Mus musculus: one gene and its partners. The main gene of each other region encodes a partner of the protein of the gene in region 7 in a complex. Links are inferred from orthologs where the notes say so. Each region holds a gene or a part of one and is shown on either strand. Other genes may lie near its edges.

Evidence for each region.
Region 1: Polr2l (region 7) and Polr1c share a complex: the UniProt entries of both Homo sapiens proteins name them as parts of the pol I pre-initiation complex. The link is inferred for Mus musculus from reciprocal best matches to the Homo sapiens genes POLR2L and POLR1C.
Region 2: Polr2l (region 7) and Gtf2e2 share a complex: the UniProt entries of both Homo sapiens proteins name them as parts of the TBP-based Pol II pre-initiation complex. The link is inferred for Mus musculus from reciprocal best matches to the Homo sapiens genes POLR2L and GTF2E2.
Region 3: Polr2l (region 7) and Gtf2h4 share a complex: the UniProt entries of both Homo sapiens proteins name them as parts of the TBP-based Pol II pre-initiation complex. The link is inferred for Mus musculus from reciprocal best matches to the Homo sapiens genes POLR2L and GTF2H4.
Region 4: Polr2l (region 7) and Taf1b share a complex: the UniProt entries of both Homo sapiens proteins name them as parts of the pol I pre-initiation complex. The link is inferred for Mus musculus from reciprocal best matches to the Homo sapiens genes POLR2L and TAF1B.
Region 5: Polr2l (region 7) and Gtf2f1 share a complex: the UniProt entries of both Homo sapiens proteins name them as parts of the TBP-based Pol II pre-initiation complex. The link is inferred for Mus musculus from reciprocal best matches to the Homo sapiens genes POLR2L and GTF2F1.
Region 6: Polr2l (region 7) and Gtf2f2 share a complex: the UniProt entries of both Homo sapiens proteins name them as parts of the TBP-based Pol II pre-initiation complex. The link is inferred for Mus musculus from reciprocal best matches to the Homo sapiens genes POLR2L and GTF2F2.

The regions. Positions count from the first base shown.
Region 1 is NC_000083.6:46,245,173-46,249,222, reverse strand, and holds the start of Polr1c (DNA-directed RNA polymerases I and III subunit RPAC1), read left to right. Parts: upstream 1-1,177; 5' UTR 1,178-1,259; coding exon 1,260-1,328; intron 1,329-1,422; coding exon 1,423-1,494; intron 1,495-3,008; coding exon 3,009-3,116; intron 3,117-3,474; coding exon 3,475-3,607; intron 3,608-4,050. Other genes in the region: protein YIPF3, read right to left, coding at 1-44, 185-382, 895-975. UniProt on the Homo sapiens protein: DNA-dependent RNA polymerase catalyzes the transcription of DNA into RNA using the four ribonucleoside triphosphates as substrates.
Region 2 is NC_000074.6:33,730,683-33,734,938, forward strand, and holds the start of Gtf2e2 (general transcription factor IIE subunit 2), read left to right. Parts: upstream 1-1,384; 5' UTR 1,385-1,447; exon of another isoform or gene 1,448-1,992; intron 1,993-2,899; exon of another isoform or gene 2,900-3,024; intron 3,025-3,043; exon of another isoform or gene 3,044-3,390; intron 3,391-3,504; exon of another isoform or gene 3,505-4,256. UniProt on the Homo sapiens protein: Recruits TFIIH to the initiation complex and stimulates the RNA polymerase II C-terminal domain kinase and DNA-dependent ATPase activities of TFIIH. Both TFIIH and TFIIE are required for promoter clearance by RNA polymerase.
Region 3 is NC_000083.6:35,670,879-35,675,013, reverse strand, and holds the start of Gtf2h4 (general transcription factor IIH subunit 4), read left to right. Parts: upstream 1-1,270; 5' UTR 1,271-1,458; exon of another isoform or gene 1,459-1,499; intron 1,500-2,185; 5' UTR 2,186-2,188; coding exon 2,189-2,328; intron 2,329-2,916; coding exon 2,917-3,021; intron 3,022-3,656; coding exon 3,657-3,788; intron 3,789-4,051; coding exon 4,052-4,135. UniProt on the Homo sapiens protein: Component of the general transcription and DNA repair factor IIH (TFIIH) core complex, which is involved in general and transcription-coupled nucleotide excision repair (NER) of damaged DNA and, when complexed to CAK, in RNA transcription by RNA polymerase II.
Region 4 is NC_000078.6:24,543,503-24,547,083, reverse strand, and holds part of Taf1b (TATA box-binding protein-associated factor RNA polymerase I subunit B), read right to left. Parts: intron 2,814-3,581; coding exon 2,666-2,813; intron 72-2,665; coding exon 1-71. UniProt on the Homo sapiens protein: Component of RNA polymerase I core factor complex that acts as a GTF2B/TFIIB-like factor and plays a key role in multiple steps during transcription initiation such as pre-initiation complex (PIC) assembly and postpolymerase recruitment events in polymerase I (Pol I) transcription.
Region 5 is NC_000083.6:57,005,534-57,008,307, forward strand, and holds part of Gtf2f1 (general transcription factor IIF subunit 1), read right to left. Parts: intron 2,374-2,774; coding exon 2,180-2,373; intron 1,624-2,179; coding exon 1,453-1,623; intron 12-1,452; coding exon 1-11. UniProt on the Homo sapiens protein: TFIIF is a general transcription initiation factor that binds to RNA polymerase II and helps to recruit it to the initiation complex in collaboration with TFIIB. It promotes transcription elongation.
Region 6 is NC_000080.6:76,008,014-76,012,309, reverse strand, and holds the start of Gtf2f2 (general transcription factor IIF subunit 2), read left to right. Parts: upstream 1-1,444; 5' UTR 1,445-1,564; coding exon 1,565-1,630; intron 1,631-4,296. UniProt on the Homo sapiens protein: TFIIF is a general transcription initiation factor that binds to RNA polymerase II and helps to recruit it to the initiation complex in collaboration with TFIIB.
Region 7 is NC_000073.6:141,472,281-141,476,545, reverse strand, and holds the start of Polr2l (DNA-directed RNA polymerases I, II, and III subunit RPABC5), read left to right. Parts: upstream 1-1,392; 5' UTR 1,393-1,423; coding exon 1,424-1,518; intron 1,519-3,141; coding exon 3,142-3,250; 3' UTR 3,251-4,265. UniProt on the Homo sapiens protein: DNA-dependent RNA polymerase catalyzes the transcription of DNA into RNA using the four ribonucleoside triphosphates as substrates.

The DNA of each region.
Region 1 (4,050 bases), on a different chromosome or scaffold from region 7:
AAGCTGAAGGCCCTGGAAGCCTGTCTCTTCCCTGCCTGCCACATCTGAAGGGAAATGGGTATGATGAGACTCTTGGCTCTAGATTGTTATTCAGTCTCGGCGAGATTTACGTGTGGGTCTAAGTGGAAAACCTCGATCAATTTAGGACATGCATAGGTCCTTTTTTTTTTCCCCATTGGCTTACCTGATCTGCTACCTGCCGGCTCAGTTGTCCTTTAAAGCCTTTCATGCCAAGAAACTCCCCATCCTCTTCTTCTGCAGCAGCTGCATCAGCATCTACTTCTTCCTCCCGCAGGCGCTGGTGCAGCTCACCCATGTCCTCGAAGCTGGAGCCTGAGGTATCGTCCATGTTCTCCATATCAATCACAGCCGAACCCCCACCCTGTGAAGACAACGGCTCGGAGAGTGAGGGGCCCTTCCATTGCATCCTCCCCGTTCTCCGCTCAGCTGACAACTTGAGGCTTTGATCTTCCACTGCCGAGGACATGGCTTGGAACTGCCACTCTTTCAGTGGTGGCAACTCTTGGTCGCGTCACTTTTGTGGTCCTGGAAACCCTACTATTTATTTTCAATCCACGTTGTTTTCCTACTTTCCACCTCAAAGCTCCAAAGAGTTGCAAAAGAGCCCATCTGCCATTCCCAATTCTCAAACAAGCCTATTTTTAGGGGGTGCCAGTGGATCCTAGCCTCCAGCCCCCACAGAGAGCCGAGGCCCGCGGGAGCCCTAGTTTGTCCCTTTCACGCCAGCACAAGAGCTACACCCTTCCCCGGGAAGACTCAAAGGGGACAGGCTGCGTTTCAGCGGAGCCGACCTCTAGGCCCCGCGAGAGAGAACAGCAGCCACCGTCCGGACGCCGCCAGCCCGGGGCTGCTGGCAGCAGGCGCGCTCCATACCTGGATGTTTTCTTCGAAGCCTCCCCATTCCGGGCCAGCACCATTTCGGACGCCGCTGGCCGGCGCCGCCGGAGTCGCCATGTCCCTCGAGGCTTCCCGTCGCTGGAGCACGCGCGCGTGGGAAGAGCGTGCGACCCGGGTCCGAGGGAGGGAGAGGTTCAGAGGGGCGACCGCCCGGGCAAGGTGGGGATCCGCCGGGACGCCGAAGGGAGAAACCCGGATGTTTGGCCCCACTTGACGTCCGGAAGTGAAGGACGTGGACAGAGGCGGGGCAAGATCTCGCGACATTCAAGATTGCGGGAGCCCGAGCGTTGCTGCGGAGACGCAGGCGCGGACTCGCCTCCTTTTACAGCGAGTGGCGGAAGATGGCGGCGGCTCAGGCGGTGGAGGAGATGCGGACTCGCGTGGTTCTCGGAGAGTTTGGGGTTCGCAATGTAAGAGATCGGGGCGCGGGAAGGATGAGGGCGGCACGGGGAAGTAGAGGCCTGGTGTGAAGGCTGGCCACACTGCCCTTTCTGTTGGCTCTAGGTCCACACCACGGACTTTCCCGGTAACTACGCCGGTTATGATGATGCCTGGGACCAGAACCGCTTCGAGAAGGTGGGTAGAGCTGAAGGTGCCCAGTCGGCCCGAGGGGCCAGACCTCGCAGGTTGGGGTGGGGGTCGCTGTTTCCATACAACACGCTTGAGCTCCATGGACGGGTCAGACACGGTGGTTGCTCTCGGTGGGATAATGGACCACACAGACAAGTTATTCCAGAATAGTAAGATAGCGGTGAAGATGGCTGGGATATGGTCAGGAATCATTGATGCACTGAATCCAGCTAACTGAAGGGACGTAGTTAAAGGTCAGTGAAGGGAATGGCATTTGAATTAAGCTTTGAACTATGAATAAAAGTTGAGTAGTGAAGGCCTGATTGGAGCTTCATTATATATGATTTTTTTAAAATTCACTTTGAAACTGTTTCTGTTTAGCCCTGGCACTCTCTCTATAGTCCAGGCTGGACTTGAACTCAGCCATCTACCTGCTTCTGTCTCTGCCTCCCATGCACTGGGATTAAAGGCATGAGCCACCACGCCCAATTTAGAATTTTTGAGTAGACTGATAACATTTTGCAATCTTGATAGCCAGGAGGGAATGAATTCTGGTGAATCTGCCAGCTAGTGTATGCAGGCTGAAATTGGGGGCATAGATGAACTCCAGACAGTACTAACGGAGTAAGGCAGGGAGAACTAGACGATTTGCACCAGTGCTCTGGGGAGGCAGTGTGTGAGAGAAAGGACTTTGTAACTTGAGGACCCTAAAACTTTCTTGATATGCGTGTTTGCCTGCATGTGTATTTGTGCACCACTGTGTGTTAGTGATCCCTGCAGTGTGAGGAGAATGTTAGGTCCCACCAGGTGCTGGGAACCAAACCCAGTTCTTCTGCAAGGGCAGTTAAGTGCTCTTAATAGCTGAGCCATTTCTCCAGTGGCACTGGGGAACTGTTGCTGGCTGTGTCGTTTGCCAAGCAGGAGAACAAGAATGAGGGTACACTCAGGTGCCTGCTTGTGAAGTCTATGTGCTTGCTTGAGCCAGGAGCATGGTGGAGGTCAGCCAGGGGATTAGAACCTAGGAGACAGGAACGTTTACTGTGTGGGTGGAAGGGGAAATTTAGAAAGAAGAGCAGATAAGGAAATTGGTGTTCAAAATCCAAGGGAATGTAGTTGAGAAAAGTAGGTATTAAAAAATAACGACAACAGACATGCAAGTATCAAACGGTCTAAGTAGTGTGGGAAGTTCTGCTTTTTGTATAGTAACTTCTCTGGGTGGTTTGTGGAAAATCTGGGAAGATTGGGCATAGTGGCGCACACCTTTAATCCCAGTACTTGGTAGGCAGAGGTAGGTGGATCTTTTGAGTTTGAGGCCAGCCTGGTCTACAGAGTTCCAGGACAGCCAGGACTACATGGAGAAACCTGGCCTTGGAAAAACCTAAAAAACAAGAAACACACAGCCTTGCCCCCAAGAACAGGACTGGAGACAAAATGTCTACTGAGCACCATGACTTTAGGGTGAGGGGATAGTGCAGGGTAGGAGCCAGGCAGGAGTCATGCAGGAGCTTCCCTCCTTCTAGAATTTCCGTGTGGACGTGGTGCAAATGGATGAAGACACGCTGGAGTTCGACATGGTGGGGATTGATGCTGCCATCGCCAATGCTTTCCGGAGAATCCTGTTAGCTGAGGTATTAGAGGACGTGGGCTGGAGGGTAGAAATTGTATCAATTTGTAGACGCTTTTCTCAAAGCCATCCCTCTGGGGCAGGTAGGGTGGTTCACACCTATGACAGTCTGGGCTACATAGTAAACATTGTATCAAGAATCTGAGCCACACGCCTTTAGTCCCAGCACCCCAGCACTCGGGAGGCAGAGGCAGGTGGATCTCTGAGTTCCAGGCCAGCCAGGGCTATACAGAGAAACCCTGTCTCAAAAAACCAAAAAAAAAAAAAAGAATCTGAAGGGCAAAATGAAAAAGTGCTGCCTCTTCCTTTTCCAGGCAGGGGGATGGGTGGAGGTCAGTTGTCTGCTTTGCCTCCTTGGGCAGGTGCCGACAATGGCCGTGGAGAAGGTCTTGGTGTATAACAACACGTCCATAGTCCAGGATGAGATCCTTGCTCACCGCCTGGGGCTCATCCCCATCCTCGCTGATCCTCGTCTCTTTGAATATCGGAACCAAGGTGAGGCTGAGAGCTTGGGATTATGAGTTAGGCAGAACTGACCTGGAATGCATGGGCTCAGGTCCCAGGCCTACTGCTGGGGCTTTAGTTGGCATCTTGTACATCTGCCTTCGCCTGGGAGAACAGCTGTCCCCACCCCACCTCTAGTCTCACTGTGTACACCCTCGGAACACAGCGCTAGCAGCACTCAGGCTCTCTCCACCTTTACATTCTTCCTGGGGATTGAACTTGGGTCTTCAGGTTGGAGCAAGCATGCACCCTCACTCTGTGAGCCTTCTTGTCAGCCTGGTATTAGAGTTGATATGGCCAGGCACGGTGGTGGACAGCTTTACTCCAAGCACTGGCAGAGGCAGGCAGATGTGTCCTGAGTTCAAGGCCAGCCTGGTCTGCAGAGCAAATTGCAGGACAGCCAGGGCTGGTAAAACCCCCGCTCAAACCCAGCC
Region 2 (4,256 bases), on a different chromosome or scaffold from region 7:
CTGATAGAAAATAGGGGAAGCTTATTGAGAAAAGCAGCAGCAGGAGCGGAGAAGAGTGAACAAGAAGAATGAGTAATCGGTGGGCGGGTGGGAAGGGCCAGGGGACTGGTGAGCAGGCTTTGAAATGTATAAGTGCTTGTAGGGACTGAGGGAGTCTGGAGGCTGCCGGGCTTGCACCTTGTGCTGACATGTTAATTGGAGAGCCATAAGTCACTTTTGCTGGAGGAAAGGGAAATGAGTCATTTTCCTAGACAGAAACTAGAGCTTCACAAGTTCCGGAGGAATGCCGCCGTCTTTTGTCAGTTGTTAGAACTCCTCGTATAGTCCAGATTAAGTTAACTAGTGGATCTTCGGACTGTCATTTGAAGTTTGAAGAATTGGACTCTCCTTTGGACCTGACAAAAATTTAGTTATACAAAGTTAGTTTCTGCATCATCACTAGTATCCTATGTTGGGGGGGGGGCGGGACATACAAAACTAAGACCCAAAGTAATTAGTACTAATAAACTACAGCTATGGGATATTTAAATACTGGATTAGGCTGTACAAACAAGGATAGTTGTAGGGTGCAGGATGGGCCAATTATTATTATTTGTTGTTGTTGCCAAATATCGCACCCACATCTTATATTGTCCCCCAAAAAATCAAAGACAGGTCACAGGTATGAAAAGAGCCGGTGTTCGAAGCGCAGAAGCTGAGCTGTAAGTTTTGAGGTTGAAGTCCAGAAGTTGAATTCTATGTTGAGTTTGCCTTTGCTAGACTGTCCCTCCCACCCCCAAGCCCCCCGCCACTTGTTAAAGGTGGTTCTGGTGAGTGGTATTTGAAATAAAATAAAAAAGCTTGGCATGGAGCAGCACTTGGTAGGCCGAGGCAGAACGATCTCTGCAACTTTAATTCAAGTTCCAGGCCAATCAGGGCAACACAGGAAGACCTTGTCTCAAATAACCAAAACCACCCACCCTCCAAAAAATATGACAGATTTATTGGTAATGTTGCCGGTTGGGTTAGACTCCAGAGCCGGCTGAAGGAGCTGCTCCGACTTTGTGCCAAGAAAAGCGGCTTTCCGTTCTTCCCTAGAGCAGAGCTGGTAGAGTAAACGTGGCTACCGGCAGCCTTTGAGCGCGCTCCGGTCGTCATGGAAACTCGGGGCGGAGCACGCCGTGACGCAGGCGCCTTTTCGGAGCGGCGTCGCGGTGGTTGCTGGGAGCGAGCGTCCTAGCCGCCGCACCAGGAAGTGGAGGGCGGGGCCGGGGCTGTGTCGCCAACGCCACCACCACGGCCGCCTCGGGTTCGACCCCCTTGGCAGGTCCGTGTTGGGCGTGCGCGCCGCGACGGCGGCGGGGGGCGGGAAGCGGGCCCGCGGTGGGCGGGTGTGTGCGTGCGTGAGTGCGTGCGTGCGTGCGGCCGAGGCGGAGGCTGGGAGGCGGCGCGGGCTGCGGGCGCTGAGGTAGGGACTGCGGCGGCGGGCGAAGGGGGACGAGTCCCGCGTGGGACTCGGCTGCCCCGAAGCGGGACGCGTCTTCCGAGGGGACGCGCGCGTGGACGCCACGCCGCCGAGCCGTTCTCCAAAGCCGAGCCCCCGAGAGGAGGGGCTCGCCCCAGCCAGCATTGTCTTTTAGGCCGGACGTCCATACAGCAAACTTTCGGGTTGGAAAGCGGGAAGGATTCCGGGTGGGCGAGCGGATGGTGCCGACCGCTTCTTGGCCACAACCACAGCAGCCGAGCTCATCCCTGTGTGGAGTTGGGGGGACCACCATGGCGTCCCCTCCCGACTGGCTTTTCTAATGCTGCTTTAAACTTTTTGAGGTTGTGAGTTTTCGGAGGAGTCGAGAGGTATTTTCCCGATCGAACTCTGCGCTCCGTTTTCCTGATGTGCTCCGGTACTCGGGGGCGAGCCGTGAAGCGAGAGACAGAGTAGACAGACAGGCTGCTGGAAGATTGCAGATTCTGGGGTAGGAAAGAACTGGACAGTGGAGCCTGAAGATTTGAAATGTTAGTTTTCCGGTAGCTATCCACCGTGAAACGTACCAGCTCTCGGTCGTAACATCCTGTTCGGGGCTTTTGATTGACCAGATTAATGTAAAGTAGACGTGGATATAGTTTCTTTACCACCCAGGTTAGCCCTAAGATGTGCACTGCAGTACAGATGTTGGTTGCAAAAGGAGGAAAAGTTAGTTGGAACTCCGGAGAGTAAACCGCTTGCTCTGGGTGCCTTTGTTGGTATCATCATATAGAGAGGTCTCTCTTATTTCAGAAAGCTTTGCTAGGGTTCCAGGGCTGGGACACATGACTTCTTACTTAGTTGTGCCACTTCTATTCAGGTTTTATGTGTTAAAATTAGCCATAGCACTAATGCTTAGTCTTTCAGACTTGTGGGCATTATGTAGTTAGGTTTTTCTAAGTTGTACAGGTTTGATCTGTCCTAAAGTCTTTATTTGACGTCCAGATTAGTCATCTGACCTTATGAAGTAAAATGTTCCTGTTTTAGGAGTTGCAAACTGCCTGTTTCCTCAGTCTTCTCACGTTGTGAATTTTTTCTTATTTTCATGCTTTCCCTACTCATACCTCTCTCACTTGCATATTAAGTTAATGTTAATTTCTTACCTAATACAACCAAAATAACAATTACTCTTGAAAAAAAATCTTTCATAAATACTTCCTCACTTTTAGAGTTGAGCCAAGTATGTACAACACTGATAGTGCCCCATTCCCCAGACCTAGGAGGAAACTACATTTAGAGCAGTTCTGTAGATTATTTGCTCAAATGTTAGGAATTGAAACTGGGAGGAGCAGATGTTTTACTCTTAGACCAGGGACTCTTCGACTCTTCTTACATAAAGTTCACAGTGAGTTTTCCATATGAGTGCTTTTTTTTTTTTTTAAATCCCTTTGGATCAAGATTGAACCTGTCACACTGCCACTTGCCTCCAGCAAGCTATATCTCCAGTCTCCATCTCCCTGTTATTTAATCAAGGAACTCAGTGTGTGTGGAACCAGTTAGGATGCTCCGGCTTTCCTGAAGATGTACGTGGAAGCAATACTTAGTAAAAACTGAACTTGAGGTTAACGCTGTTTTGCTAGGCTAGTGACTTAGTACTTTAATGATGCTAGGCAGCTGCCGTGAGCTCCCAGTCGATATCACAAAGGCACAGTTGATATGCTGTTGTGTACCAGGTTGCTAGGCATTTATGTTCAGTACAAAAGATGGATTGAATGCATTTTTTTTCAACTTAAAATATTTTCAGTGTATGAAAGGGTTATCATTGGAAGTAGCCTCTGTAGAGTGGTCTTTCCCCCCTGACTGAACACTAGTGTGAAATTCATTCACAGGGGCAAGAGTGAGCTTTTCTGAACCGTGCTGCAGAGTGCTAGGAAGAGAAAAGACTTTTTGTAAGATTCATGGTGATTCAACTGGTGGTTCTTGTGTTCTGGTTGTGTTGAGATTGCTTAAAAATGCTTATAAAACTACAGTTTTATAACTGGGGGTGGGGTGGGGGGGAGGAGCGGGAATGATCATTTAGTTTTACCTCCTAAATCAGGAATTTTCTGTACACTTTTACCCCTCCAGTGTCTTTCTATGTAGTCCTGGCTGTCCTAGAACTCTGTATGTAGACCCTTGCCTTGAACTCACAGAAATCTGCTTGCTTCTGCTCCAGGTTAATTGCTGAGATTAAAGGTGTGCAACCACTATGCCCAGCTTCTATAGATGTTTTTAATACCTTAATCCAGCTTTCTTAATTAATAAGAGGGCACTGGTTTTTAAAACACACCATTTAATTTATAGCAGTTCCACTCCTCCCCTTTCCTTCCCTTTTCTTCCCTTTCCCATCCCCTCCCCCTTCTCCCCCTTCCTTCTTCAATGAGCCTAAATATGCTTTCTAACTTCTAGAGCACTGGTACACAGTATATAATGTGAGCTTCAAGTGTGAGTTATGCTTGTAATTAAAATTTGTGTGTGCTGAGGATTTAACCCAGGGCCCCATGAAACAAGGCAAGTGCTCTATCAGCTGAACTATATCCTCAGCTAGAGCCAGCTGGGGAGGATAATTTCTCTGTCTCTGTGTGCGTATGTATATATAATAACGTATATATGTATGTATACATATATGTATGTATGCATGTGTATTTTATAGAAATACTTAAGTCATTTATTGCCATTAAGTTACAAGTCTGAGTCTATACACTGGAAAACACTGAAACTTTTTACCTCAGGAAATTATTTGTCAGTATTTGGCTAACTGAAGGATATATTGTTG
Region 3 (4,135 bases), on a different chromosome or scaffold from region 7:
CCTTACATGGCCTTACCATTTTTGCCCTTGGTAAATGTGTTTCTCATCTCGGTACTGGGACTTTCTTGTGCAGATCTCTTATTCTGTTTTTGTTTGTTTGTTTGTTTGTTTGTTTGTTTTTGGTTTTTTTCGAGACAGGGTTTCTCCGTATAGTCCTGGCTGTCCTGGAACTCACTTTGTAGACCAGGCTGGCCTGGAAGTCAGAAATCTGCCTGCCTCTGCCTCCCAAGTGCTGGGATTAAAGGCGTGCGCCACCACACCCGGCTCAGATCTCTTATTCTTGTTGAGCTTGATAGCCTGTGATGTAAGAATAACAGAATTTGCCCCCATAAGAATTGGAGACCCTACAGATGACCTTAGTTGATGTCATTTTCCCTTTCCCTTGTCTTGCCTAGGATAAATTCATAAATCAAATCAGGGCAAATGATAGCTTTCTCTTAAAAATTGCAATGTAATCTTCTAACTCCCCAGGGAGTTGGAAGAGATTAAGATTGAGTGAGCAGGTGGGAGGATGGTGGAGAGATGGCTGTCCTTCCAAAGGGCCCAAGTTCAATTCCTAGCACTAACATAACAGCTCACTGCTGTATGTAATTCCAGTTCCAGGGAATCTGACTTCACATAGACATTTTGATTGATTGAGCTCCAAATGAGGGCAATTGTGTTGATCCACGTCATGTGAAGATGTTCTGCACTGATCATTATCTCAGTTTCGTGAGGAACAACAGAGGTCAAGAAACCCAGTTTGTCGCCGGGTGTGGTGGCGCACGCCTTTAATCCCAGCACTCGGGAGGCAGAGGCAGGCGGAGTTCTGAGTTCGAGGCTAGCCTGGTCTACAAAGTGAGTTCCAGGACAGCCAGAGCTATACAGAGAAACCCTGTCTCGAAAAACCTAAAAAAAAAATAAGAAGAAGGAAGAAAGAAAGAAAGAAAGAAAGAAAGAAAGAAAGAAACCCAGTTTGAGGTCTCTACATCTAACATAACACCACTAAGCTGCTTTAGTACGTCTCCGATAGGAGGCCCCGGAGCTCCTCCAGGTTTGCTGCCTCCTCCTGATCTGACAAGAGATTCACCTTGCTGTATAGGGGAGAGAGGCGCGGAATCAAAAGGTCTGACTTCGGATGTTTCTAGGGAATCCCAATGAAAAGCCACCTTTTCTCGGCCGGCCTTCTTGCGGTGCCTTTAGGGATTTGTAGTCAGAGCCTGACTCATAGTCTCCAATGTAGGCTAGAAGAGGACTACAATTCCCAAGATGCCTTGCGACAGGCGAGTGCATTGCCTATTCTAACCCCCTTTACTCTTGACACATTTCTCTGCTCTCCCTTCTCTTTGGACTGCTTATTGACTGGGTCCTGTCTGTGAAGTTCTTCGTGGTTCTCCCACCTTTTAGAATTCTCATCCTTTATTTCCAGGAGCCAATGCGAGACATTAGCACTGATTAGGCGACGGCTGGTGACCCGGGGTGCGCGAGGGGGAGCCGAGTGGTGAGGGGGTTTGAGAAGGGTAAGGGAGAGAGTTGAGCGAGAAGCGGAGTGAAAGGAAAGTCGGGGAGATGTGAGGAGCTCAGAGGCGTGGGTCTCAGTGAGAGGGGTAAGGCTGGCTGGAGGGAAAGGGATAGAAAGGGATTTAGGTTGGTAAGCATGAGGCAGTTTATAGCCGTGTCCCCAGATGAGAGCTAAGGATTTGACCCATTTGGACTGATCTGACCAGGAGGGTGGACAAGAGAGAGAAGCCTGGGCTCAAATAAGTATCTTTGTCAATGCTTAGGTGAACTTGAGATGTCATTGATATGCAAAACACTCGCAAGTATGAAACGATAAGTAATTCAGTCCACACCGGTGAGGATCTGGATTTGATCCTCAGGACCATACACAAAAATGAGACTAATTCCACCTCCTGGAGACTGAACAAAGGCTGAACTTCAAGGGCAGATATGGGATGAAAAGCCTGGTGGCCACTTGGGAAGTAAAGGCAGATGGATCAGGGGTTCAAATCCATCCTTGGCTCCATAGCAAATTCAAGGCCATTGTGAGCTGCATAATGAAGAAAAGAAGCAGGACACGAGGGGTTTGGGAGGAATAGGTGATAAGTGGCATCAGACAGGAAAGTACAGAAAGTGAACCTAATAGATCTGGAGTCAGTGATATAGGCCTGGGTCATGTGGGAGTTCTGACATTTGTCCCTCTCAGGTGATGGAGATCACCCCGGCGAGGGGTGGACTGAACCGAGCACACCTACAATGCAGGAATCTCCAGGAGTTCTTAGGAGGCCTGAGCCCTGGGGTGCTGGACCGATTGTATGGGCACCCTGCCACTTGTCTGGCTGTCTTCAGGTGAGGAGCCTTCAGAGCAAAGGGGATGTTTGGAGAATGTAATGGGGCCTGCAGACTGAAATTAGTTAGCACGGGGAGAGGCTTATTAGCCCAGCGTGAGTACCAGGGTGTTAGACATTACTCCAAAGTGTGTCAGTCCAAACCAGAAAGAGGTTGTGGGGACAGTGGGACTGCTAAGGACGTGGGAGATGGCATGAGACGTTTGAGAGACAGAGGTTGCAGGGTATTTGATCACATAGTGAACTCCAAGATTATGAACCAGAAAAACCTTGTTATTGTGGCTCAGCCCTAAGCACACACCTTTTTTTTAGCCAAGGGCTAATGTCAACCGTAGGTCAAGAGATGGAGCAACCAAGTAAACAGAAATTAGCAACGTTGAGTTGAAGGGAATTTAAGACAGTGTGGAGAATTCTCGGAGAGGGAGCTTTTTCTTTCTGGGATGTCATTGGAGAAAAAAAGGTCAGCTGGGTGCTTTCTCTGCCTCTCTGAGCAGTTGGGATGTTTGTTTTTTTTAAACCACAGGCAGATGAGGGCAGAGATGCAGGTGTGAGGTGGCTTCTGATAACATTTGGCCTCTGAACCTTACAGGGAGCTCCCCTCTTTGGCTAAGAACTGGGTCATGAGGATGCTCTTTCTGGAGCAGCCGCTACCACAGGCTGCGGTGGCCCTGTGGGTGAAGAAGGAGTTCAGCAAGTGAGTCCCGGGCGGGCGCAGCTGCTTCGAGCTTCCCAACAGCCACATTTCTCAAAGGACTTTTGTTTGGAACACTTGCAGGGTGCACACACAGAGGAGCTAGGGGAATCAGATGTGGGCCTTTCAACAGAGCCTGCCCTACACAAGGAAAACCCTCCAGAATACACCTGCAGAGGTTTCCACTGTGGAGAGTTGTGTCTCTTTAGCTGTATGCTAACTAGAACAAAACAAACAAACAAACAAAAAGACAAAGGGGAAAAAGCCGCCCCCGCACTCCCCCAACCCCAAGTTGATAGGTAGAGATAGGGAACCAGAGATTCAAGGATTATATCGTAAGTTTGATGTATTGTAAGTTTGAGGCTGTCCCAGGCTTCATAGGACCCTTCCTGAAACAAAACAAATGAAAAGGAAAAAAAAAAAAAAAAGAATTGACTTAGAAAACAAAACAGAGAAACCAACAACAATCAAAACGAACTAGGTTCTCCTTAGCATTGCAGTGCAGGTATCTGAGGTGAGAAACACAGCTTCGCCCTGCGACACTGTTCCAAGGGCCTCCCGTTCAGAGGAGATAGATGAAGCTCCCTGGAGGTCTCCTTGCTATTGGTGATACCCCACTCAACTCTGCTTCTGTCCAGGGCTCAGGAGGAAAGTACGGGGCTGCTGAGTGGCCTCCGTATCTGGCATACCCAGCTGCTCCCTGGTGGACTCCAAGGCCTCATCTTGAACCCCGTCTTCCGCCAGAACCTCCGAATTGCCCTTCTGGGTGGGTACGTCATTTCCCTCCCTTCCTGAGCTAGGCAAGGGGAACTGCTTATTACACTGGTGGGGGAGAATCTCCTGAGAGGCCTCCCCAGAGCCTCTCCCCATCCCCACCCCCACCCCTTGGAATGCTCCTTCAAGAATACATTGGACCAGGTGTGGATGTAGGGTGCAGAAAATGTCCTTTTCTTGTAGCCCTTGGGATGAGGGTAAAGACCTAGGGATGCAGGAAGCAGACAGGGTTCCTTACTCCTGTGTATCCTGGCCACAGGGGCAAGGCCTGGTCTGATGACACAAGTCAGCTGGGACCAGACAAGCATGCCCGGGACGTCCCCTCACTGGACAAGTATGCTGA
Region 4 (3,581 bases), on a different chromosome or scaffold from region 7:
AAACGTCAGAAAATCCACTTCCCCAATTCCAGTCAACTTTACTACTTGACAGGTTAAAGTGTGCATTTCATCTGTTGAAAAACAAAACAGTTAAACACAAACGAGGCCACAGTAATATACATATTTACAAGCTATCTTTACACATCTGCTTTGTTTGTAAGACAGGGTCTCGATATAGCCCATATTGGCCTTGAACTCATGACTCTCATGCCGCAGCCTCTGGTGTGGAGGCTGAGATTACAGGGTTGCAACACATTACCCAGGAACCTTTTATTTAAAACATGATGTCATGCATGAACTTTGGGAGCATTTTTGAATAAAACAATACTTTAAAAAATGAGGCCAGTGTGGAAATAGCAATGGGCAAAATCTTGGCAAGGCCTACTTGACACCCTAAAACATGTATGTGCGATACACAGTTGGGTCTCATGCAGACAGGCACACACCAGCTTTGTGCTGCCCCATACATGTTCCTCATCTGTGTCTCTACAAGGCACACTCACCTCCTTACAAGGTCAACCTTCTCCAGGAACTTGGAGAACTCTGATGGCTGAGAGCTCTTGGTTAGATGCTTTGCTTTCCCAAAGAAGTTCTGCATTCAGCATAGGCTGCGCCTGCAGCTCAGAGGCTGAGTAACGTGAGCTTGGGGACCTGAAACCCTAGGCCCTGTATTCAGGCTTCTCAGCAGCAGCCACATGATTAGCCACACAGCTTCAGCCTCTTCACCTTTCTTCCTTTAAGGACAGGATTTTTTTCTGTCTAGCTTAGGCTTGCCTCAAACTCATGATCCTCCTGCCTCAGCCTCTTGAGGTTTGGTATAATTATAGGCATGAGCTCCTTTACCTAGCAATATTGTCCTTTCTTGTTATGAGAGAACAGAGTGAGATAAAATAAGGTTATACAGAAGTATACTTTGAAAACTCTAAGTTATTAAACAAATTCCTCAGTGGCCTACATAGAAGAGGTGCAGCACAGCCTCCTCTAACAGAACGGACAGACACCACACGGGTCTCATCCACAGATCTCTTTCCTTCCAGGGAGCGCACTGTGCAGGAAAAAGCAGATTGTGGAGTCCTGTCACTTGGACCAGCTCCATGTGACCTCAGAGGTGTTACACTAAAGTATGAGCTAGCACAGTGACTTCTTGATGGTTATGAACATTACATGAACGAACCTGCCTAAAGCACTCAGGCCAGCGTTGACTGACACCCGTCCAATCTGGCCTCTCCACTCCCGAGTATCCTTGTCTCCCTCCCTCTGGTCATAAGGTGTAATCAGTCACCTCAGGCTCCTGATGGCATGAACCCATTAAAACTTTTAGCTCCCATCTCCAACAGGTTTCAAATGTTCCCAAAGCCTGCAGTGTTCCTTGCCTCTATTTACACAGCTCTTTGGTCCCTTCACCTCAACAGTTCTTTCCCCATTTCGCATCACAAGCTTCTCTTGGTTGGTTCTTAGGTCACAGGTCATAGCTGTACCAATAGTTTCTAAGGAGACCTGTGTAACACCAGCAGGCTTTCCCAGTCAGACCTGCCTCCATGCTAAGGAAGCTCCACCAGAACTCCTAAGTGAATGGCTGGTTTGTAATGTGAATCCCAACAAGCAAGGATTGTCACTATCTTGGTTTATACTGCTTTTCCTCACCTAGGAACTATACTATACTAGAAACTCAACAGAGGCCATCTACATCAGAGTCAGGCAAGGGGAAATGACATGCATTGTGATAACTCAGCAATAGTCACTCTAAGACTGAGCATGGGGACTGACACCTATAGTCTCAGCACTCGGCAGAGGCAGAGGCAGAGGCAGAGGCAGAGGCAGAGGCAGAGGCAGAGGCAAGGATCTCCACGAGTTCAAGGCCAGCCTGGTCTATATAGTGAGCTTGCAGGCTACACAGACATACCCTGAGTCAACATTCTCCCTCCACAAAGAAAATACAAACCAAACCAAACTATCAGGCAGACAATAAAAGTCCTAGGCTTCTTGTATTTCTAGTTCAGTATGAAATTCAGGACTGGCTCGTGTCACAGGCTGTACCAGGATTACCTGACACGTGTGCTCTGCATGAAGTGGCTAAGGCTCTCATCACAGTCCTCACTGCCCTAAAAAGCTCACTGTGTTATCTACACTGTTCTCCGTGGCTTGGGAAACTGGAATGTTACCAGGCTTCAAGTACCATGTGAGGAGCCTCCAGGACTGCTGTAGTTGTTCTGAATCAGGTCTCCTTGCTACCTTAGTCTGGTCTTGAACTCTGGGTCTTCCTCCTCCACTCTCAAAGGTTGACATCAACTTTGGCTGATAATTTTGTTCTTAATTAGAAGCCATTATGCAGTACTAATGTTCTCAGGTGGACAGAGCAGCTTTCCCATGCATGTCATCAAAAGCCCATACTGAGACAGTCTGCCTGCACTTAGTCAAGTTGCCACAGAAGCCACGGAAGTTCTCCCAAGCATAAATCACACAAAGATAGAAATTTGTTTTTGAGCAGTGTCCTTTTAACTGTGTTATATGGTGTGAATTACTTTAAGAAAGCATTTGATCTAAGTTCCTGTTACTATGAACTCCTTCAGGTGGCTTAGGCAGTCTGCAGCTGAAAGAAAGGCCCCACTGGTCTGCTAGCATAACTTTGCAGCCAAGCCTCCTCCCCACGCACCCCACAGCTCACCAGGGAGATTGACCTCCAGTAAGTATTTCATACACAAGGTGTTGGGATGGAGGTAGCAGTCTTCCGTTATGTCTGGGAAACGAGGCAAATCTAAAAATATGGCAAGTTCAATCATGTTTTTATAGATGTCTTCATAGTCAGGCCAAGACTGAAATTTTAAAAAGACAGAGTAAGATAGTAATCTTTGCAATATTAATTATTTAATCATTTTCTTAAAATTATTTTAAAGATATTTTCTGACTTAAAAGTGTATGTTGAGGAGGGGGGTGGCTAGAGAGATGGTTCAGCAGTTAAGAGCATTTGCTGCTCTAGCAGAAGGCCAATGACCAGTTCTCAGCACCTGCTTCAGGTGACTCCACTCTGAGAGAGCCAACACCCTCTTCTGGTCTCCATGGGCACCTGCACGTACAGGCACATATAATCAATCTTTTATTAAAAGCAGTATGTGGGTTGGTAAGATGGCACAGTGGGTACAAGTGCTTGCTACCAAGCCTGATGCCTGAGTTCAACCCCTGGGACCCTCCTGATGGAGGGAAAGAACTGGCCTTGGTAAGTTGTCCTATGTGGGCCACATATGCCATATAACATGTGCACTGTGACACCTGTACCTCCCCTACAAGATATACAAACAACTGGAATAAAAGTACTATACAATTATAAGGTTGAGTATGGCAGCACACACCCTTAACCTCAGCATATCCCTGTGAACTCAAGGCCAACTTGGTCTACACAGCAAGCTCCAGGCCAGCCAAGGCTACACAGTGAGATCCAGTCACATGAAAAAAGGATTGCGTATTCATTAAATAAAATTTAGAATACCGAGAAAAATGTTAAAGATCCTTATTATTCAAAGTTGGTAATTTTATTGATCGTTATCTTACATGCATTGGTATTTTGCCTTTACATGTCTGTGTGA
Region 5 (2,774 bases), on a different chromosome or scaffold from region 7:
CCTTGTTCCTCCTGCATGGGAACAAGTGACTATGTACTTTGTGTAGCAGAGGATGGTGGGGAGTAGGGGACTGCAAAGAGCTCCTTGGGCAAAGAGGATGGTAGAAGATAATGACCGATACACTCAAATGGGCATCCCTTCTTTACAGGACAAATGGGCATGACAGGATAACCTCATTAAGGCACAAACACTGTAAAGGAGGCTAAGGCAGGGTAGTTAGCCTGAGCCACACCACATGCAACAGAAAGAGAAAGAGGCAGGGCATACAGCCTGGGCCATTTCAAACCCCCAAATCTTGAAACAATATAGGGTGAGCCCTGAGATGGACTCAGGCCCATGTGCACCTAAGCCCCCTGGAGACCCCAAATCTTAGCTCCTCCAAACTCAGGGTCTGTTCCAGGCATATCCAGCCATTATATTGGTTAGCTAAATAACATTTTATGGCTTTGGAGGTGGTGGGTTGTTCGGTTGTTTTTGGTTTTTGGTTTTGTTTTCTTGGTGAAACAGGATCTCTCTCTATTGTCCTAGCTGTCTTGGAACTCACTATGAAAACCAGGCTGGCCTTGAACTCACAGAGATTCTCATGCCACTGCATCCTAGAGTGCTGGGGTAAAGGTGTGCACCACCAGGCTTGGCCCAGTTAAAATTCCTTTTAAAACAGGATCTCATTGTGTGATCTTAGCTGGTCTGTAACTTGGAATATAAACCACCCCTCAAACTCAGAGATCCTGTTGCCTGTGCACCAAAGTGCTGAGATTAAGGGTGTGTACTACTGTGTCTGTCAAGTTTTGGGGTGTTTTGAAACCAAATCTCATATAACCACAGCTGGCTTCAAACTTAATACAGAAGATGGACCTGAATGCCTGGTCCTTGTTGCTTCTGCCATCTGTGTGGTAATGTGTGCATACACTACCCCCACCCACACCCCCCACTGTTAATTTATCTCAAGGATTACTTAGAGAAGGGGCAGGGTCTCACTGGACAAGGAGCCGTCCATGAACCACACCTATGCATGCCCGGAAGAAGACTACGCATAGTGGGAGGAGGAGCTGCTTTTGACATTGCAGTCCCGGCCCCTTGAGAACTGGTCCAGACTTGTAGGCAAGCACAGAGCAACCCCACAAACCACATGCATTCCTGAAGCCCTTTCTGGGCCCACAGGTCCCATCCTCAGCAGGTGTACAAGGTATCTCATGCTATACATCCCCAGTTTCTCAATCCCAGCCTCCCTGCACCCGCCTTTGTCTCTACCTCCCAGGCTAGAACTGAGGAAGTTGCCATTAGGAGGCCCCTCCCTGGACCCCCAGGCTGTGCATATCTGTGGTACCAGCCTTCACTCAGCTCCCAGGCAAGACTCAAGCAAGAGAGGTCTGCCCAAGCAAGTACTAAGCAGTACTCCAGGCAGCCTTGCTCTGAGGGCGTACACAGCTGTAACAACCACCTTTGGCTCACCTCTCCCATTCCTCCTCGGCTTCCTCAGCAGTGAGTGTGCGGTGTCGGGCCAGTGGTGTGAAATTGTACCAGTTCTGTACAGGGAAAGCCTCAAAGGCACCATCAGCACACTGTGTGAAGATGTAGTAGGCTGTGTTCTCTGTTACCCCGCCTTTCTTAATGCCTTTGAACCTGTGGAGAGCCTAGGTTAGGTCACGGTCCCACCCACCCCACCTGCACTCCTTCCACCCTCTCTACAGTTCCCATTTGGGCTCTTCTAGGAATGATTAGGACAGAAGGGCATGTGCTACCATCTCCCTAGCACAAACATCACCCTGCCACCTTGTGGCCACCATCTGCTACCAGATTCTGGGCCATGTTGCACTGTGTATCCTGCTCCCAGCCTATAATCCCCCATGGCTACTGAGGGCCTTACACTGTGTAGGCTCCAGCTATTGGTTCACTGAATAACTATGCATAGAGCACTCTCGTCACTGGCTCCATCAGACTCCACCTTCTTTGCAATGGAGTATCCTCGCCCATGGGGTCAGGGCCCTATCTCCAGGCCACACTCAGGCTGCTGAGCCAGACCAACAGTATCTAGTTGATTTACCTCCAAGATTAAACTTTATCAAGGAGGTGGTACTGGGACCACCATCCTGTTGGCTACAGACTCAAAGAAGATGCCTCCAAAGTATGCATGTGGGAGGGACACAGGCTGGCCCCTCCCACCATTAGCATCACTTACTTCCGTCCTGATTTGCCATTGACACGGAGTAGCCAAGGCTGGTCCTCAGGCCGAAACTCCTTTAGGACAATGCCATACTTCTTCCGGCGCGCCTCCTCCCTAAGCTTGCGGTTGAATTCACTGCCTGCACCGGACTCTGGCATCTCTTCTTCCTGGTAAATCTTCTTGTTGCTCAGATCTCGCTCCAGCCGTGCCTGAAGGAGAAGCAGGAATACTCTTCTGTCTCCCTGTGCCAGGCTTCATGTGCTCCCAGCAGACTCCCCATGTGGCATGAAGGCCAGGGATGTGAGCACCTGTTGCCTCTGCCCAGGGAGAGGGCTGTGGAACTGGTTCACTGGGTAAGGTAGCAGGCTTACAAGCACAAGGATCAGGAATTCAGATCCCCAGGACCCACAGACAAAGTTGGGCATGGCATCTGAGACCCCATGAGAGAGGTGCAGACAGGAGGGGCTCTGGAACTCACAGGTCAGCAAGCCCCAGGTTCAGTTAGATACCCTGACTCAAAACACAACGTAGAAAGGCTATGGGACGGTACTTGCTGTCAAGCCCGAGGCTTGAGGTCAAGCCCTGGGACCCACACTGCAAAAGGTGAGAA
Region 6 (4,296 bases), on a different chromosome or scaffold from region 7:
GTGCTGGGTGCTGTGCATATAAAATGAATAAAACACTATTTTGTATTTGTCCATTCTGCTTCAGCAAATCTGGGGCAAAAACAGTACTTTTGTCTAGGAGTTCAGTCAGTAGTGTAGAAAACAAAGATAAACACGCCTCTCATGGTACAGCGTTAAGCATCACACACTATCATATGGGGAAACAGAACTTTATCTAGGGGGACTCTCTTTTCTGTGTGGTCTTTATTTCATTTCCACTTGTCTGTGTTTATAAGTAGAAGTTTGCCAAAGGACAGGGCCAGTGTAAAGATCAGGGAAAGCAGGGCATCTAAGGCACAGGAATTGGTTTGAAAGAGGCTCTGAAATGGTAAGAGGAAGGTCCTGGAGTCTTCAAGCAGGTGGATGGGCTTGGTGTGGAATCCTGTGTGGAACAGAGAGTATAGGAAGGATCAAACCCAAAGGACTCAGTTGAAGCACAGGGTAGAATTTCATTCCAAAGGCAAGTGGGGGAGGAAATTACCAAATGAAGACTCAGGAGCTAGAAGCTGCGGTGAAAGCCTGCTAACTCTGAGAGGCAGAAAAAGTACTCAGCTGACCTTCCCACTCCACCGACTTCTCAGAAGGAAAAGCCCCTTCTCCTTCATGCACTCTTAAATACCCTTCACCTCAAACTCTCTCCTTTCTCTTGCTCATGTTCACTCTCTTGTCAGCTGGCTACTTGCTCTGCCGCCTGATCTAGGGTTGACTTTATTTAGCTCTTGGATTAATGTGCGCGCTAGGTAGGGGTGAGCCAGGCTACCTATACTTGTTTACAGTAAACAGAAAGTTCTAGGATCAAAGGCTGAGCCACAGTTATTAACAGATTCTTCCAGTTCACAATCTCAGGGCTCATAATGTGATCCAATATCCTGCAACCGGAAACTGTTTAAGCAGGGCAGTTGGATAATCAGATCTGTTTCTTACATGGTGGGTCTTACCAACTCAATTAGATGGCATTCAGGTTTCGGCGTCTGAAAGAGTGTATGCTGCTTGCACGGTGTGAATTGATTTTTATGCCTCGAAAAGGCATGTGTCCAGCATACTCACTTGTACTCTAGTGCCCACTTGTGCCAATGTTAATTGGGCCAAGAAAGTGACTTTTTTTACCCCCAAGTCTGTCCTTAAAATGCCTAGCTTCTTTATCTAGGGTTGGGTATAAATACACACAGCTTTTGTCTGTCTAAACCTTAATCTTTCCACTTTGTCACCTTTGCTGTAAACGCACGGTTCAGGATTAGGCTCTTCCTTTCCCAGCACTCGAATCCCAAGATTGCACGTTGCCGGGAGTCACGCCCATCTAGGAAATTGCCGGAGCAGGAAGTTTGTCCCTCTCGGCGCGCTGTCCTGACGTAGTCGTGCGCAGGCGCAGTTCTTCATTCGGCGGCGTGTTCTTCTCATCTAAGTTCCTGGTTCCCGGGCTGTGTGCGACGCCGGCTTTTCGCGGTCTACTTACTCCCTTGGCCGGCTCTGGACTGTCGCTCTCTGCCTTTCAGCGCCGGGACCACTGCTTGTGCGCGCACTGCACGCCTCCTCACGCGACAAGCTCATGGCGGAGCGCGGGGAACTCGATCTGACGGGCGCCAAACAGAACACCGGCGTGTGGCTGGTCAAGGTGAGTGAGACGCGAGCCCCGCGGGGCGCTTCCGAAAGTTCTGGGTCCGTCTTGCTCGGGCCACCGCTGTTCTGAGAAGCGGGTCGCTGTTGCGTCCGTTTGCAGGTTGGAGAAGTTACTTTAGGGGACACAGGGCGTCTTTCAGGCCGTCTCTCAATTTCATCCGCCCACCATGGAACTAACTCTCTTTACCGCCAAGACCTGGCCTTCCTGGAGTCCTGACCCGGTGGTCCCCGAGTGGGCAGTACATTTACCCCAGGTCGGAAAAGTCCTTGCGGTTTTCTTTTTGGTAAGGTTAACTTTAGTTATGAACGTGTATAAATTACTTGAATAGATATTCCGTACAGTTTTCTGGACCACAAAGTGGAGCTGGTCCCTGTGTACTCTGTTGTTTTGAAACAATCTCTCTGTGTAGACTTGGCTAGCCTGGAACTCGCCATGTAGACTCCTGTCGCTTTACACGGCTAGTGTTGCCTGGGTTGGTAATTCAATTGGAGCCTTCGAAAGACCTAGAAGTTCTGAATTCAAAGAGAAGTTGTTGACTTCGTGTTTTTAAAGAGCGAGTTTAGGATTCATGAAACCAACCAGCAGTAAATGTTTTAAGTGGTCATGCGGCAGACCTCGTTTGCCCCAGTGGTCGCCATCTATTCGGGTCACTTTTTTTTATATGGGGTGGGAGGCTCTGTGGGGAATCTCATTCTGAAAAACCATATTTAAATGGGATCATGAAAGTTTCCCAAACTTGTTTTTTAAATGGTTTATCTTTGTAATGAGTGTTTTAAGTCCATGGCTGAGTTCTCATCAAGACAAAGTGTTTCTTCCTGTCCTTTTCTCTGAAACAGCTCTCGTCGTTTGCCAGCACAGCAGACTATGTTAAGTTCTTCAAACCCCTGAACAGTTTCTAGTGCTCCTTTGTACCTGTCTGTATCTATTGTTGATGCCCCTACCCCCAAGTCACTTTCTTTGCACTTTGATTAGTGTTTGGCACATATTACTTTTCCAATATGTGATGAATATAAGAAATTGAAAAGGCACACGCCTTTAATTCCAGCACTCGGGAGGGAGAGGCAGGTGAGTGAGTTCCAGGACAGCCAGAGCTATACAGAGAAACCCTGTCTCGAAAAACCAAAAAGAAAAAGAAAAGGCTGTATGTCAAAGAGACACAAACTAAAGTGGGTAGGAGTTAGTCCTGTCAGTTTCATCGGCGGGCGATTAATGAAACACACCTCTGGGTGTTTCTGGTGCTGTTTCTGGAGGCAAAGTAGGTCACAGGGCTATGATCTAATTAAGGGATTAGTTACTCTGTTGGTGGATTTATAATGTGACTTCTCTGGGAGGTAGTGAAAGGTAGTGGGGCGGGGCCTAGTTGGAAGAAGTAGATTCTGGCTGTATGTTCTTAGGGCTGCCCTGGCCCTCTCTGTATCTCCTCTATATCATGGCCACTGTGGAGTGAGCTGCAGCACTTTTCCTTGTTTTTCCCACCATGACAGATAGAAACTGAGATACCCAGTGCAAAATAAATCTTAAATTGTTTCTGTCAGATATTTGGTCACAGTGACTAAGTCTGACTAAAACAGAGAATACAGCAAAGGGTTATAAGTAACAGGAAAAACGAAAACCTATTCTCTCCTTTCCTTTCCCTTCCCTTCTCTCCCTCTCTCTTCATCTCTCCCTCTCTCTCTCTACCTTTCTTAGTTCAGGCTGGCCTGGAAGTCTCTGTGTAGCCCAGGCTGGCCATAAACTCATGGTAATTCTCCCACCTAGGTGTGTGTTAGAGCACCTGTGCTTGAGTATTTATGTTAGATAAATACACAGATATATATCTTAGATAAAGGAGAGCTACCAAATAGACAGGACTGTGGTGTGCACACCTTTAATCTTAGTACTTGAGAAGTTAGCCTGGTCTACATTGAGTCAGGGGAATGTTGTAAGACCCAGAAACCAGAAGAGGGCATTGGATCCTCTGGTATTACAGGTATGGCTGGTTATGAGCTGCCATGTGGGTACTGGGAATTGAACCCAGGTCCTCTGGAAGAACAGTCAGTGCTTTAAAGCTGAACCATCTTTCCAGCCCTTATCAGACTTAAATAGCAAAACCATTAAAAAGTCCATATGGTATTTTGAGATACATTGTCCACAGTCTCACCTAGCTTTATTTCTGAGTTGTATCACTAGCCTTAGATTCGGTTTTCATATCTGTAGACAAGGGAGAGTACTTTGAAGAGTGATTGAGGGGATGAGTGGGTGGAGGGGATAGAAAGTCTACAAGGAGTCTGACAGAATTGTCTCCTCAACCTTCCTCTTTTCCAGCCTCAGGCCTATCACCTGACACACTTTGGTAGTCTACTAAGTTAATATCATGAACATACAATCAGCCTTTTTTACTCCTTTTTTAAAAAAACTTTAACTGTAATCAAAGTACTGTACCCCCCCCATAATCTTGCTAGACTTCCTTGTCTCCCCTTTGCAGCCCCAACACCTATGTCTCAGTCTGAATTCATTGTGATCACATTGTTATTCCAAGATTACTACGAGAACTAATGCTGACAACTGACAGTCAGTGAATACTTATTCTCCACAACACATATGCTTCGTGTTTTATTAAAGTCTCTTCTTTGCTTCTCATAACAGGATAGCTGAAAGGTCTAAACTACTTATGTGAAGAA
Region 7 (4,265 bases):
CCTCCACCCCATCCCCTAGGGCAGACCCTACAGACCATCTCCTATCCCACTCCCCTGCCACCCTCACCTCTGGCCACCAGCAGTCTTCAGTCCAGATCTTGAGCCTGATCCCAGGCCACAGTGACTCACAGGCCCCCACTGCCCCCTCTGGCCAGGGCAGGATGTTGGGGGGAGGGGACAGGACCGGGAAGTCGCCTAGCTCGTGGCTCTGCACGTGGCTCCATGGGGGATGGCAAAAGCTGCCAGGGAGGCTGTCCAGGGTGACATCGGGGGCACAACCACCAAGCTGGCCAGTGGCTCCGACCAGCCACACTCAAGACCCAGGAGACCCCTCCCGACCTCCCCTCCATCGTTTGTTTCCCAGAGGCACCTGGAAAATGTCTAGGACCCCCCAGAGCCTTCACTGTAACCAGATCTCAAACTTCCCAAGCTCTATCGAACTTCTCCAGCTTCTCACTGCAAGCTGCCTCGTTTTCCTAAGGGTAGCTCCCAACACACAAGAAGGCGGCCAAGGTGATACACTCCCCAGAAACCAGCTCCTTGCCCATTCCCTTAAGTCCTTAAGTCACGTCCAGGTGAGGCAGACCTGTGGCCACTAGCAGTCTCGCACGCAATCTCCGCGTCTGAGCCAAATATCCCGGGAAAAAGAGGTTAGAAGGTCTGTTCATAGGGTGCCTCCTCCATGACGCCTTCCCGGACCACCGCCCTGCTCCTCTCCCCAGGAAAAGACCCTTCTCAGAGGAGAGGACTGTACTGAGCGCGGGAGGCCGCCGTCGGGGCTCGGGACACCGTACCGCCGACGGTTCTGCAGCGGCCGAAGAGAAGGACGCCCCAAACTCCAAGGCCCGGACTCTGCCTGGGCACCTCGGGTAAGGGCTCCAGACCGAGACCCCTTGGAGTCCGGGCCAGGAGGCGGGAAGACCGCCTTGGCCGTGGACAGTCGGCAGCCCGCTCTCCGGCTGCGCCACCACCACTTGTTAACCACCTCTTGGCTCCAGTCGGCTTGCGATCCGGCCAGCGGGACCCCAGCCCGCTAGAACCGCCGTACCTGTGCGCGCCGCCGCACGGCGGAGCAGCTGTCAGTCAAGGCAACACGAGAAACGCGAACCGCCGGCCGCGGACCTTTCGGCCTTGCTCGGACGCCGTAGCGCCGGGATCTACCACCACAGCGGGAGGGGGGGGACCGGGATGCTGCCGCGGGCTCGGAGGCTCTCGGAGCCCCGGGTGGGCACGAGCAAGGAACACCGCCGCTTCAGGGTAATCATGGGAGCCGGGGCAGGGCTGCGGCGGGATTCAGGGAGATGCGGGGCGGGGCTCTGGATCTTACGGGGCGGAGCTAGGGCGTAATGAGCCCCGCGCTATGGGCGCGCCTGGGGCGGGCCTTGAAAAGCTACTGCCGGCAGCCTGCACGCCAGACGCCGCCATGATCATCCCGGTGCGCTGCTTCACCTGCGGGAAGATCGTCGGCAACAAATGGGAAGCCTACCTGGGTCTGCTGCAGGCCGAGTACACGGAGGGGTGAGACGGCGGGCCGCGGGGGATGGGACAGGACGGGAAGGCTGGACTGGGGGCATGAAGTCGAGGGGCAATGGGGAGGGTTCTGCGGCGGACCGGGAGTGAAATTGAGGTGTCCTGGGCCGGGGGTAGATAAGATTTCCTATGGAGAATTGGCAGGGCAGGGGTTGTGGGGTCTAGTGAGAAGACTGGATGTCCTCCAGCCCAGACCTGTGATGTATTCCCAGAAGAGTGAGTCTTTAGTTTGTTTTCGAGGCAGGATTTCGGTGGCTGACCTGAATTCTCTATGTAAAGCAGTCTGGTCTGAAACACTTCGAAATCCTGCCTGTCTCCTGGATGTTGGGATTAAAGGCGTGCAATATCACGCCCAGGCTCTCAGAAGTTTGGAAGGTGGTTTTCTTCAAGTTGCTGGCCTTTGGGAAACTTCTAAGCATCCTTCCCGTGGGTGACACCTCAAGTCTCTTCCCTGTCGACCTACTCTCTATCCTCTATCTGCTTTCCGACCTACCCCTTATGTACTTCGAACCTCGTGGGCCCTTTAAAATGCAGGACAGGCTTTGTGGGCATCGTCTTGTGCTCACTACTATGACTGTCCCCCAAAATAGACCTCTGGCCACCATGTCAACACCAAGGGGTTCTCTTTCTCTGCACAAGCCATAAGTCAGTGGGGCTTAATGAGCAGCTATTAGATCAGCTCTGATGAGTAGCTGCTAGCCTTCTGGGACCCTCTTTCACTTGGGCAGGAACCTCTCAAGCTGTCTAGGTCCCAGAGAAATTAAATCTAGTGTGAGTTCAAAGCCTGTGGGGTAGCAACAACCAGTTCATGGCGTTTAGTCAGAGTCCACCTGTGGGGCCTGGAATTGTACTCCTTGATGAGGGGATATTGGTCTCCTAAGCTTTCCCAAATAACCCTGGAAGCCCATAACCCTGGGTACAAGAGACAAACGCAGAGATACAGGGGGTTAGAGAGATGGCCCAACTGTTTTTTTTGTTGTTGTTTTGTTTTTCAAGACAGGGTTTCTCTGTGTAGCCCTGGCTGTCCTGAAACTCACTTTGTAGCTCAGGCCGGCCTCGAACTCAGAAATTCACCTGCCTCTGCCTCTACCTCCCAAGTGCTTGGGATTAAAGGTGTGCACCACCACACCCAGCTAGATGGCTCAACTGTTAAGAGCACTGGCTGTTTTGTGTGTTTGGTTGTTTGATTGTTTTTTAAGAGGACTCAGGTTCCGTTCCTTGAAGCAACATGGTATCTCGCAAGTGTCCGTAACTCCTTTGGGCTTTGGGAGCATCAGGCACCCATACACATAAAACGAAATTTTAAAAAACAGGTGTAGGCAGAAGGCTGTTAAGGATGGATACAGGATGCTATGGGAGAAGACTGGCACATGAGCAGGTGTAACTTCTAGGTGGGGAAAGGGTCACCTGGCTCCTCCCTGAGCATCTAGATACATATTTCAGAAATCTCCAGGCCATTTCCCTATGGCCTGGTGTCAGGTTTCAATCGCTGATTATGTAGATGTGCTCTGGTAACCCCTATCCACACGAATACCCAGAGGCAAGCTGGAGGTGGTTCCAAACCTATCCAGACTCTAGAGACCACATCCAGCCTCACTCTTCTCTTTACAGGGATGCCCTGGACGCTCTGGGCCTAAAGCGCTACTGCTGCCGCCGCATGCTGCTAGCACACGTGGACCTGATTGAGAAGCTGCTGAACTATGCACCCCTAGAGAAGTGACCGCTGGAGCCTGCCCTCCTCTGTCTCCTGCTGGCCACGGGCAGCCTGTCGTGCTATGTTCAAACTGAGCTATTGGGGATGTTGGTGTATTGCCTGGCTGTGGCCCTGTGGCTAAGTCCTGTTACCCTGGAAGGAACTGTTTAGTAAAGATGTTTGCAGAACCACCAACAGGTCTAACTTCCAAGGTGCTCCATGTCCATGTCTGTGCTGTCTCTGAGGCTACCTGGCCTGCCTCCAGTCTTTCCCCTAGGGCTGGTCTCCTTCCCCTTCATCTGACTGGGAGTCTCGTCCTGTGGAGGAGTACCCTGCTTCCGTTCCCCGGGGCCTTGACCACTTTGATCAACGAGGTAGCCCTACAGTAGTCTTGTACCACATTGCTTTAGGGCCTCTCCGCTTCCTGCCTGTGTTCAGGATGGGCATAATGGATGTGGGCACCACACCATCCACAGGTATGGATGGGCCCAAGCCTGGTGACAATATTCCTTTGGAATGCTGAGCGTGCTTGGAGGTCCCAATCCTTGTGCTAGGGTTATTATGCATTTGGGTATTTGGTCTGCTTATAAGTCTTTGTATCACTGTGTCCCCACAGAGGCCAGATCCCCTGAGAGTAAAGTTATAGAATGTATAAGCTGCCATCAGGTATTGGGAATCAAACCCAGATTTATTTACCTTTCATTTTCCAAGACAGGGTTTCTCTGTTTGGCCTTGACTATCCTGGAATTCAACTCTGCAGACCAGGCTGGCCTTGAACTAAAGAGATCAGTCTCTGCCTCCCGAGTGTTGAGTTTAAAGGACGGCTTGTGCCACCCAACCAAACCCAGATACTGTAGGAGTACGCCCAAGGCCACAGGCCTCACGAATTTCTTGGGTCCTAAAGCCCATCAGCTGTGTGAGCCTATCTGCTGCCCATGCCTGAGGATCTTGTTTCCAGAATCTTCCCAGGCCCGACAGCTAGGCAGCCCTGCCCCTTGACCCAATCCCCACAGCATGTAGTCCTAAGAAGCCTACTCTAGGC